Arabidopsis thaliana: one gene and its partner. The protein of the gene in region 1 interacts with the protein of each later gene in a pairwise test. Each region holds a gene or a part of one and is shown on either strand. Other genes may lie near its edges. The genes, in order: BOP2 and DFL2.

Region 1 (3,926 bases):
ATGTTCTAAGGATATCAAGAGGCGTGATTCCACCAACTGTCCTCACATTAGGATCAGCATGGTGGTCTAACAGAACAGCCACCATGTCTGGAGAGACCATCTCAGCCGCGATGTGCAAAGGTGTTTTCCCTGCCGGACCCGCCGGATAATTCACATCGGCAGCTCCAAGCTCAAGCAAAGCCTTCACAACTTCTCTACTACAGCTTTCAACAGCGTAATGCAATGCTAACGACTCATCAAGATTGAGTCCTTCTCCCATTACCATCAGCTTCACTAGTTCCACGTCTGATGAATCCAAAGCTCGTCTCATCCTTCTAATCTTTTGATCTTCTAGGTCTTGAGCCACGCTGAGATCATGGTGGTGGTTGTGAGGCATTAGAGAACGGCGAGCTATAGAAGATTTAAGACGAAGCTCTTCTATTTTGGTGACGACGTCAATAGGGAGATGCTTGGCAAGAATCTCTGGTGGGAGACCTGATTTAGCAACTAAGTGAGAGCAGGTGGTCCATAATTGATGCATGTCTTGCTTTCTTGATGCTATTAAAACTTTCATCACATCTTCGATAGAGGCTTTCTCCACCATGCTTGCCAATTGTTTCTGCCAATCATACAAAACAATTTATTTGATAAGTATGATATAAATCCAAAGAACCGACTTTTTCAGCAAGTGGGGTTTAATTTCCATTTTTAGGTTATGGATTTTTTTGCTATTAATTAACTTTCTTGTCATCTCAGATGGATTTTTGTATGGTGGAGTAGGTTTTATTCCTTATCTATAGATTAGAATCGAAACCCCAAATGAGGAAAATTGTGGGATTGGATAAGAAATTAAGACCAAGAAATGAATAGATCCAACTACATAACATAGATTTCTACTTTTAGGAAAATTCTCTTCCGTGCAATAAAACCACCGTTCGTCTGCTTTCGGAAACTTTATCCGATGAAAATTGTTCCAAAGCAAGAAACTTAAACTCATTTATACATGAAATCAAGACAAGAACATATATAATTTAACAAATAAAAAATTGTTATTAAAAATTAAAAATCTTAAGCGAAATACCCCATGAAAGAAAATAATCAGACCAAAAGGGTTTCGCGATTTGTAATAAATTTAACCCAAACCCAAAGAAAGACAAATAAAAATCGAATCAAAAGCGTTTCGTAATTTACCAAAATTAAGCCAAGCACATGAAAGAAAACACTCTAAAAGAAGCAGAACAAGAACAAAAAAGTGGAAACTTTCAATTTTGTTTTCTTGTGATGTGCATGGAGTAAGAAGAGTGAAAGCAGAGGGAGAAAGAGAGAACCTGGGTGAGCAATGCGAGCTGCTCGACGCCGAAGTAACGAGAGGCGGCGAGAGTATCAAGAGCAAGATCAACGGCGGCTGAGCAATGAGTGTGCCAACATCCTCTCTCGCCACAATTAGGTCTAGGCTCGTGTTTCTGCGGCACGATGGAGACTTGTCCGCTATAAAGAAACTGAAGTAGCAACAGAAAAACCTCATAACCGACTGAGTTCACTGGTATAATTCCAGCTGGGGCCGTGGAGCCTCTTGTTGGGCTAGCGGGTACGGACCCATGTTGGGTCGGGTCTATACCTGTGACAGGTTGTGGTGAGTCTGTCCCACAAAAGAATTTGCGGAAGAAAAGACTCCGTGCGGCGAGGATACAACGGTGAGCGTGGACTAAACGACCTTCAACGCTGAAAGTCACGTCGGAGAAAGCTTGACCGTTGATTAGTAGGTTCAGGAAATCCAACGATAGAGATCTCAAAGATTCTTCAAGATTGCTCATCTTTTTATAAAATAAAAAATTGATTGGTTCTTGGATTCTCTATAGAACAAAAGCTAGGGTTTAGCAAGTACTCTTTACAAGAGAGAATGAAAGAAATAAGTTGCCTCCTTTTATTGATCTTGTTGGCTATGAAGTTACGAATTATTAGTTTTTCGAAAAAGGGGAACAAATTTTCCGGGGGAAAAAGCTTAAGCTTTGTTCTTTTGAAGCTTCTTTCTTGCTCCTCCTCTCTGAAAGAAGAAAGAAAGAAAGAGAGAGAGAGAAGGATTCTTTATTGCTTTGAGTTTGTGGTGTTAGATATTTGTTTGGGTTTGGTAAGTGAGAGAGAGATTTGAATGGATGAACCGGGCGGCTCAGATATTTAAACTAAGATGGTTAAAAAAAAATTATAACTGTTTCAGTGTTTTGTCTTGATGCTGATTATAAAAAGGGTTAAAGTATTATTAATGAATTGAAATTTAGTGATTTGGTTACTAAAATAGGAAAACAATTATTAAGAAGAAAAGAATACAAAGGTGGGCCAAATCTATTAATGGAAAATGGAAATAATTGAAACGAGAGAATTTTAATAAAAGTGTTAATAAACAATGAAATATCATTAGCACCTGACTAATGAAAATCCTACTTAAATCTGATTTCCAAACAAACGAGGGATATGAATTGAGTAGTAGGGTGATAAGATAATAAATCCAAGATCCTCGGCAATTGTCTTTTTGGCTTGATACAGAACCATGTGAAAGCCTGAGCAACACAATGGATACGTTACACATATAAATGGAGGATGGGATAAAATGGTAAAAAAAGAGAGGAAGATGGTGGATAAGAACATAGGCCTAATTAAGTTAAAAGACAGAAGGAGTGAAATAAATTTCGTAACTGTAGTGAAATCTGATTTGATGGTTTTCTGTTTGACCGTTGGACCAATCCTCACCATCTTCCTTTGCCCCTCTTTACTTTTTCTTTTTTCTTATTTAAATTTACTTTACCTTCTATTTTTTTTTTTTTTTTTCTAACCAGAAGATCCGGGAAGGAAAATTTTGGTCTCTTGATTTTACGTAAGAACTGGATTTTCTTACTTTAGTAAATACTTAGTAATCAACTGTAATAAAACTAATCCTAGTAAGATTAGCCTAAAATTATCGAAATTTTACTTATTTATGTACAGATATAATCCCTAAATTTTGTAAACAACATGGAGTATATTCATTGAAAATTCTCTTACTACATATCATGAATTCAATATTTCTTACTGATTTGCATGTTGTTAATTGATGATATTTTAAATTTTTTTTTTTTTGTTAAAGGTATTTGCATTTGTTGTGGATTGAATTATTCATTTATAGTCGAGTAAATTTATATAAGTTTTATGATGACTTATCATGTTTTTTTGTTTTTGTTAAAGGACTTATCATGTATTATAATACTATACATAAAATGTTAAACATTTTGTATATTATGTAAGATACGTTTCATAAATAAGGATAACTGCACTAGATGGCAACATAATAGAATAACAAAGAAAAGGGCAAGGAGCTAAGAAATACTATGGGTTAAAACATTTTTTAAGCGGTTTATCTATATATGTCTATAATTTAAATACTAATTTATCCAATAATTTTTAATTAAATGTGTGATCCATGTTTTTTATTCTTGATATAATTATTTGATGAGTTAAATGTAGAAACTAAAAATCAAGCTCTAAATTTTATCATAAATATGGTGATATTTTTTTGTCAGTAGCTCAAAACAAGTTATTAGAAAATTATTGTTTTTAAATTAAAATTATAAACATGGTTATATAAATTTTATCATAAAAATGCATTTTTTTGTAAATTATTAAACTTCAATAGTATACGATATAGTGATTAACTGATTATCAAGATATATGTTAATGGAAAAAAAATCAAAGAGTAGTAAATCATCAAACAAAGCTATTATTCTTCTAACATACAAAAATCAAATCAATCAGGTAGAGAATGAAATTAATGTGAAACATCCAACCACAGAAGTCAAGACGGGGCTCTGATAATGGCGCAGTCGTGGTCCGAACCCATATATATATTCACCAGTTGAGAAAGCTGTATTTAACTAGTTGGACTGGACCAATCAAATTAAATTAAATTCATTTTTCTT
Region 2 (3,926 bases), on another chromosome or scaffold:
TATCTGTATTGCACAATGGATTTGCCTCATCGATTCTCTCTTGGAATCCATGAATCAAATGTGTATATACATTGCTTTTAGGTATCTCTCTAAACAAAAAAAAAGTATATATGTGCTTGTGTTCTTCATCCACCTCCTGTTAGAGTCTATAGAATCTAGAATCTACATGCTGATATCACCTAATCCTGTCAAGTATTTGCAGGCACAAATTAGCTTAGATGAACACTCTGAACAAACATTCAAACGCTCAAGACTAATTTTTGAAGAGAGATTCTTGGAAAAAAGGAACACTTGGCAAACCTCGCTTGAGTGAGAACTGGAGTTCGTTTCCTCTGATGCTTGCGCCTCAGCTTTTTCGTTCGAGTAACTTCCAGAATTCGAAATGAAAATCAGGCAACCGATATTAGCAACACAAAACTTCTCTTCATGATAGCCACAAAGCTAATATGTGCAACACTTTCAAATACATTGGATAAAAAAGATTGAAGTTGAAGAAGGCTCACGTTGATAATATAGTGACCCATATGAGTTCAATACAATCTACCCAAAGAAGCCTTTGGTCTACAGGGATTACACCGTATGTAACCAAGTGTGCCAATGGCCAGAGTTTCCAGCCTGCCTGCATAGACAAAATCATGACATAACCTTTAGATAAAATCAACAGACTAACTTTAAGCTTTATATATGATCACGAAGACACAGGGCAAGGAGAGTTAATTACAGTGAGCATTGGCAAAAATGTTGTCTTGATTTCGCTGAAAATGTCAGCTGGAGATTGGAAACGCAAGAGCCCTAAAACTGTAAAGTAGATACTGTTCCAAATTGCAGACCATACGGTTTGATCAAATGCGACTTTTGCAGGGACTACCCACCATTCTTGAAAAGGAAAGAGAGCCTTGTACAAAGAAAAGATTTTAGCTTTCAGCCCGTTGTTAATACAACATATCTTGACAGAGCAAAGATTGATTTTTACCTCACAGAATTGGTAGTAATAGTGAGACAGTGAACCATGGAGTGTGAATCCAACAAGACCTGATCTAAGAACACGAGTTCGATCAAACTCAAACAGCGGTTTTCCTTCGTAACACTGCATAAAGTTACAGCCAAAATGGTCAGAGAGAACTCAAATTAAGAAGCTTTTTAGAGTATTTTTAGTTTCTTACTTGTGCAATCCAATCTCCTAAAGAATACACAATTCCACTAATCGCCATTTTCGCCAAAACAGGGTTTGTTTTGAGAATTTGTTCATACGCAAACCAATTATGTTCAGGTGCATACCTAAGTATCTCGTAGAGAGTCCAACCCTAAGAAGAACAACAACAATCGTGATATCAATTTCAGTATAATCCCATAAAGGAGCAAGCTTTGCAGAGATAGAAGAACCAATCAATCACAAGAGAGATAAAGAAAACCCTAAGCTTACTTGCCAATAGTCATGATCAATGGTTAAAAGCTTAGTAACCGCAACGGTACCGGCGGCGAGAACTATAGCTGCGTTGATACCTCGACTCATCAGCCGATCTGTATCTTCTACTTTATCTTCTGATAGTTCTTCCTCTGCCTTGAAATTGTCATTTTTAACATCGATTGCTTCTCTGTCTTCAATGATCGATTTAACGATCAAGTTTCTTCTCTCTGTAATCAATCGTTTCTGATTCTTAAAAGGGTTGATTCGGGGTAATGGGCCTGCGGTTTTAATCCGTGAAGAAACCTTCCCGGAGACGATGATGGTGGTGGGACAACAACAGAGAGCTGCCATGGACTTGCACTTCTCAAAGGAAGATACTTTTTCTCTTCTCGTTGGCTCTCTCACAGCCAAAGGAGAGGTTTTTAGACTTAGAGAACAAAAAAGAAGCAGCAGACTTTGGTGACCAAACGGTAGGAACTGAGCCGAACCGAGTTTCGGTTAAATTAAAACCAATAACCGGTGGGTTTTAATTTGGTTAAAAACCGGTTTGCACAATCTCAAAACCGAAGCCGAAAACAAAGGTCCTACCGAGATTTGAACTCGGGTTACTGGATTCAGAGTCCAATGTCCTGACCACTAGACCATAGGACCAGTTGCTTCGAGTCCTACCGTTTTGGTTTAAGATCTAGACATGTTCAAGGACTACACCATCGTGGTCTCCGCCGATACGGCAGTCTGATCAAAACGATTCAAGAGAATCAGGCGGAAGGTTTTTTCTGAAATTCATAAAATCGGGTGATCTTTGCAATATGCATACGTATATCCTTGGTAAATGTATTGGCTTTGTTTGGTTAACGATGTTGATAGGATTAGGTTGTGATCAAATTAGAAAAAAATTGGGTCTTTTCTGATTTTTTTTGGCCAATTCTCTGATTATGAGTTTTGGAATGGTTGGAATGGTAGAGGAGGGTTTAGGCGTAAGGTAAGAGAAAATGGGATTGAACCCAATTTGCATACTTCAAATTCTCTGGTGAGCTTGATGTTTCATTGATTTGACAAAGCATGTATTTGAGATTGTGGGCAGTTGCAGGATCAGACTACATGTTACTTACAACAGGCATGATCAAGGAGTATTGTAAGGTAGGGTAGAGAAATGATATGACAATGATGCAGGTTTTGAGTATTGCCTAGCTTTGTATCAAGATTTGGATGAGAAGTGACTTTCAGGCTTGTAGTTTAGTGATTGGAGATTCTGCAAGAAGGGAAAATTACATGAAGGTTATGTGGTTTTTCTGCAATATGATTCGTTAAGGAGGCCAAGCCAAATGTAGTCAAATACACCACGTTAATGATTCATCCGTATGGGGACAGCTTAGATTTTTCTGTGTGTTGCATCCAAAGATGTACTGTGTACCCAAATTCCGAGTTCACCAACCAGGGATGAATGATACTGTGTACCTAAATTCCAAAGATGTACTGTGTACCCTAACAGTTTTCGTCTGGTTAGGAGATAATCACTTCTTGAAAGCAGTTTGAATGTTTCTCAAAGAATGGTCATGTACTACCCACGTTTTTTGTTTGGTTATCTTGGAGGTAAGATGAGCTGGTGACAATTCTGTTTTTGGCTTATACTAAGATTAACGTGGAGCTAGTCCTTTGCTTTACGGAGCTTTGATAAGATGTTTTAGGATTTAATTACCCATCAAGAAGATAATGAGGGAGAAAAAGGCTAAAGAGATTCATTCGACTTGCAAAACCATGGTTGGAATTTTGTGCACATAGTGATTGAGGAGAGAGATAGAAAGTGAAGGGACTTTAAATGTTAGACCCGTTGAAACTAGTGGTGGGCCTGTGAAGGTTGAGGTTGAGGGAAGAGCCAGCCTGCCCAAAAGAAAAAATATCTTGTGCAACTTGTGATGCTTGGTAGCTTTGGTCCTACATGCTTATCCAGATATTTGCAGAGAAAGAAACATCAAAAGGTTAGCCACATTATAGGAAGAACTAAAATTTTCTAATGCTATTTTGCTCAAATAGGTGTTTGAGAGCTCTGTTCATTTAATAATGTCCATATTTGTGGCTATGTTCACTGAATTATTAACAGGGAAAGCAGTTGAAAGATAGCTAACATGATGTAGGGGTTTTGGTTTTTAGGAGGCAAAGAGGCTTTCATGGGACCACACTGGATGATAGTTGCAAAATACATTGTGGTTAAGGTTTGTCTCTTGAGCACATGTTGAGACTGGGATACTCTTCTGTGAGAACGCATTAATAGCTGTATTAAGTGTTGATAGAATTTGTGGACGGTAATTCCCGTGACATTTATGGAGGTATCTGTGATGTTTTTCCTATTAAAAAGACAAATAAGGAGACCCAAAAAAGGTGAGAACAACTATACACACAAAGAAATTTCTTTTGTCTGAAGACAAAGGGAGTGGTCAATGACCAGTACTCCCCTATATGTTGGGTTAGGACTTCTACTCATTTTGCATCGTTGAGATACTATACTGCCTTGAAAGAC

Evidence for each region.
Region 2: the proteins of BOP2 (region 1) and DFL2 interact in a two-hybrid assay, tested with the Arabidopsis thaliana proteins (one large-scale study listed by BioGRID).

Annotation. Positions count from the first base shown.
Region 1 is NC_003071.7:17,238,411-17,242,336, forward strand, and holds the start of BOP2 (Ankyrin repeat family protein / BTB/POZ domain-containing protein), read right to left. Parts: upstream 2,200-3,926; 5' UTR 1,794-2,199; coding exon 1,308-1,793; intron 599-1,307; coding exon 1-598. UniProt on the Arabidopsis thaliana protein: May act as a substrate-specific adapter of an E3 ubiquitin-protein ligase complex (CUL3-RBX1-BTB) which mediates the ubiquitination and subsequent proteasomal degradation of target proteins. Acts redundantly with BOP2.
Region 2 is NC_003075.7:1,499,740-1,503,665, reverse strand, and holds the start of DFL2 (Auxin-responsive GH3 family protein), read left to right. Parts: upstream 1-2,066; 5' UTR 2,067-3,001; intron 3,002-3,096; 5' UTR 3,097-3,387; intron 3,388-3,559; 5' UTR 3,560-3,926. Other genes in the region: AT4G03410 (Peroxisomal membrane 22 kDa (Mpv17/PMP22) family protein), read right to left, coding at 163-367, 504-619, 722-895, 974-1,087, 1,164-1,304, 1,424-1,759. UniProt on the Arabidopsis thaliana protein: Catalyzes the synthesis of indole-3-acetic acid (IAA)-amino acid conjugates, providing a mechanism for the plant to cope with the presence of excess auxin. Involved in red light-specific hypocotyl elongation.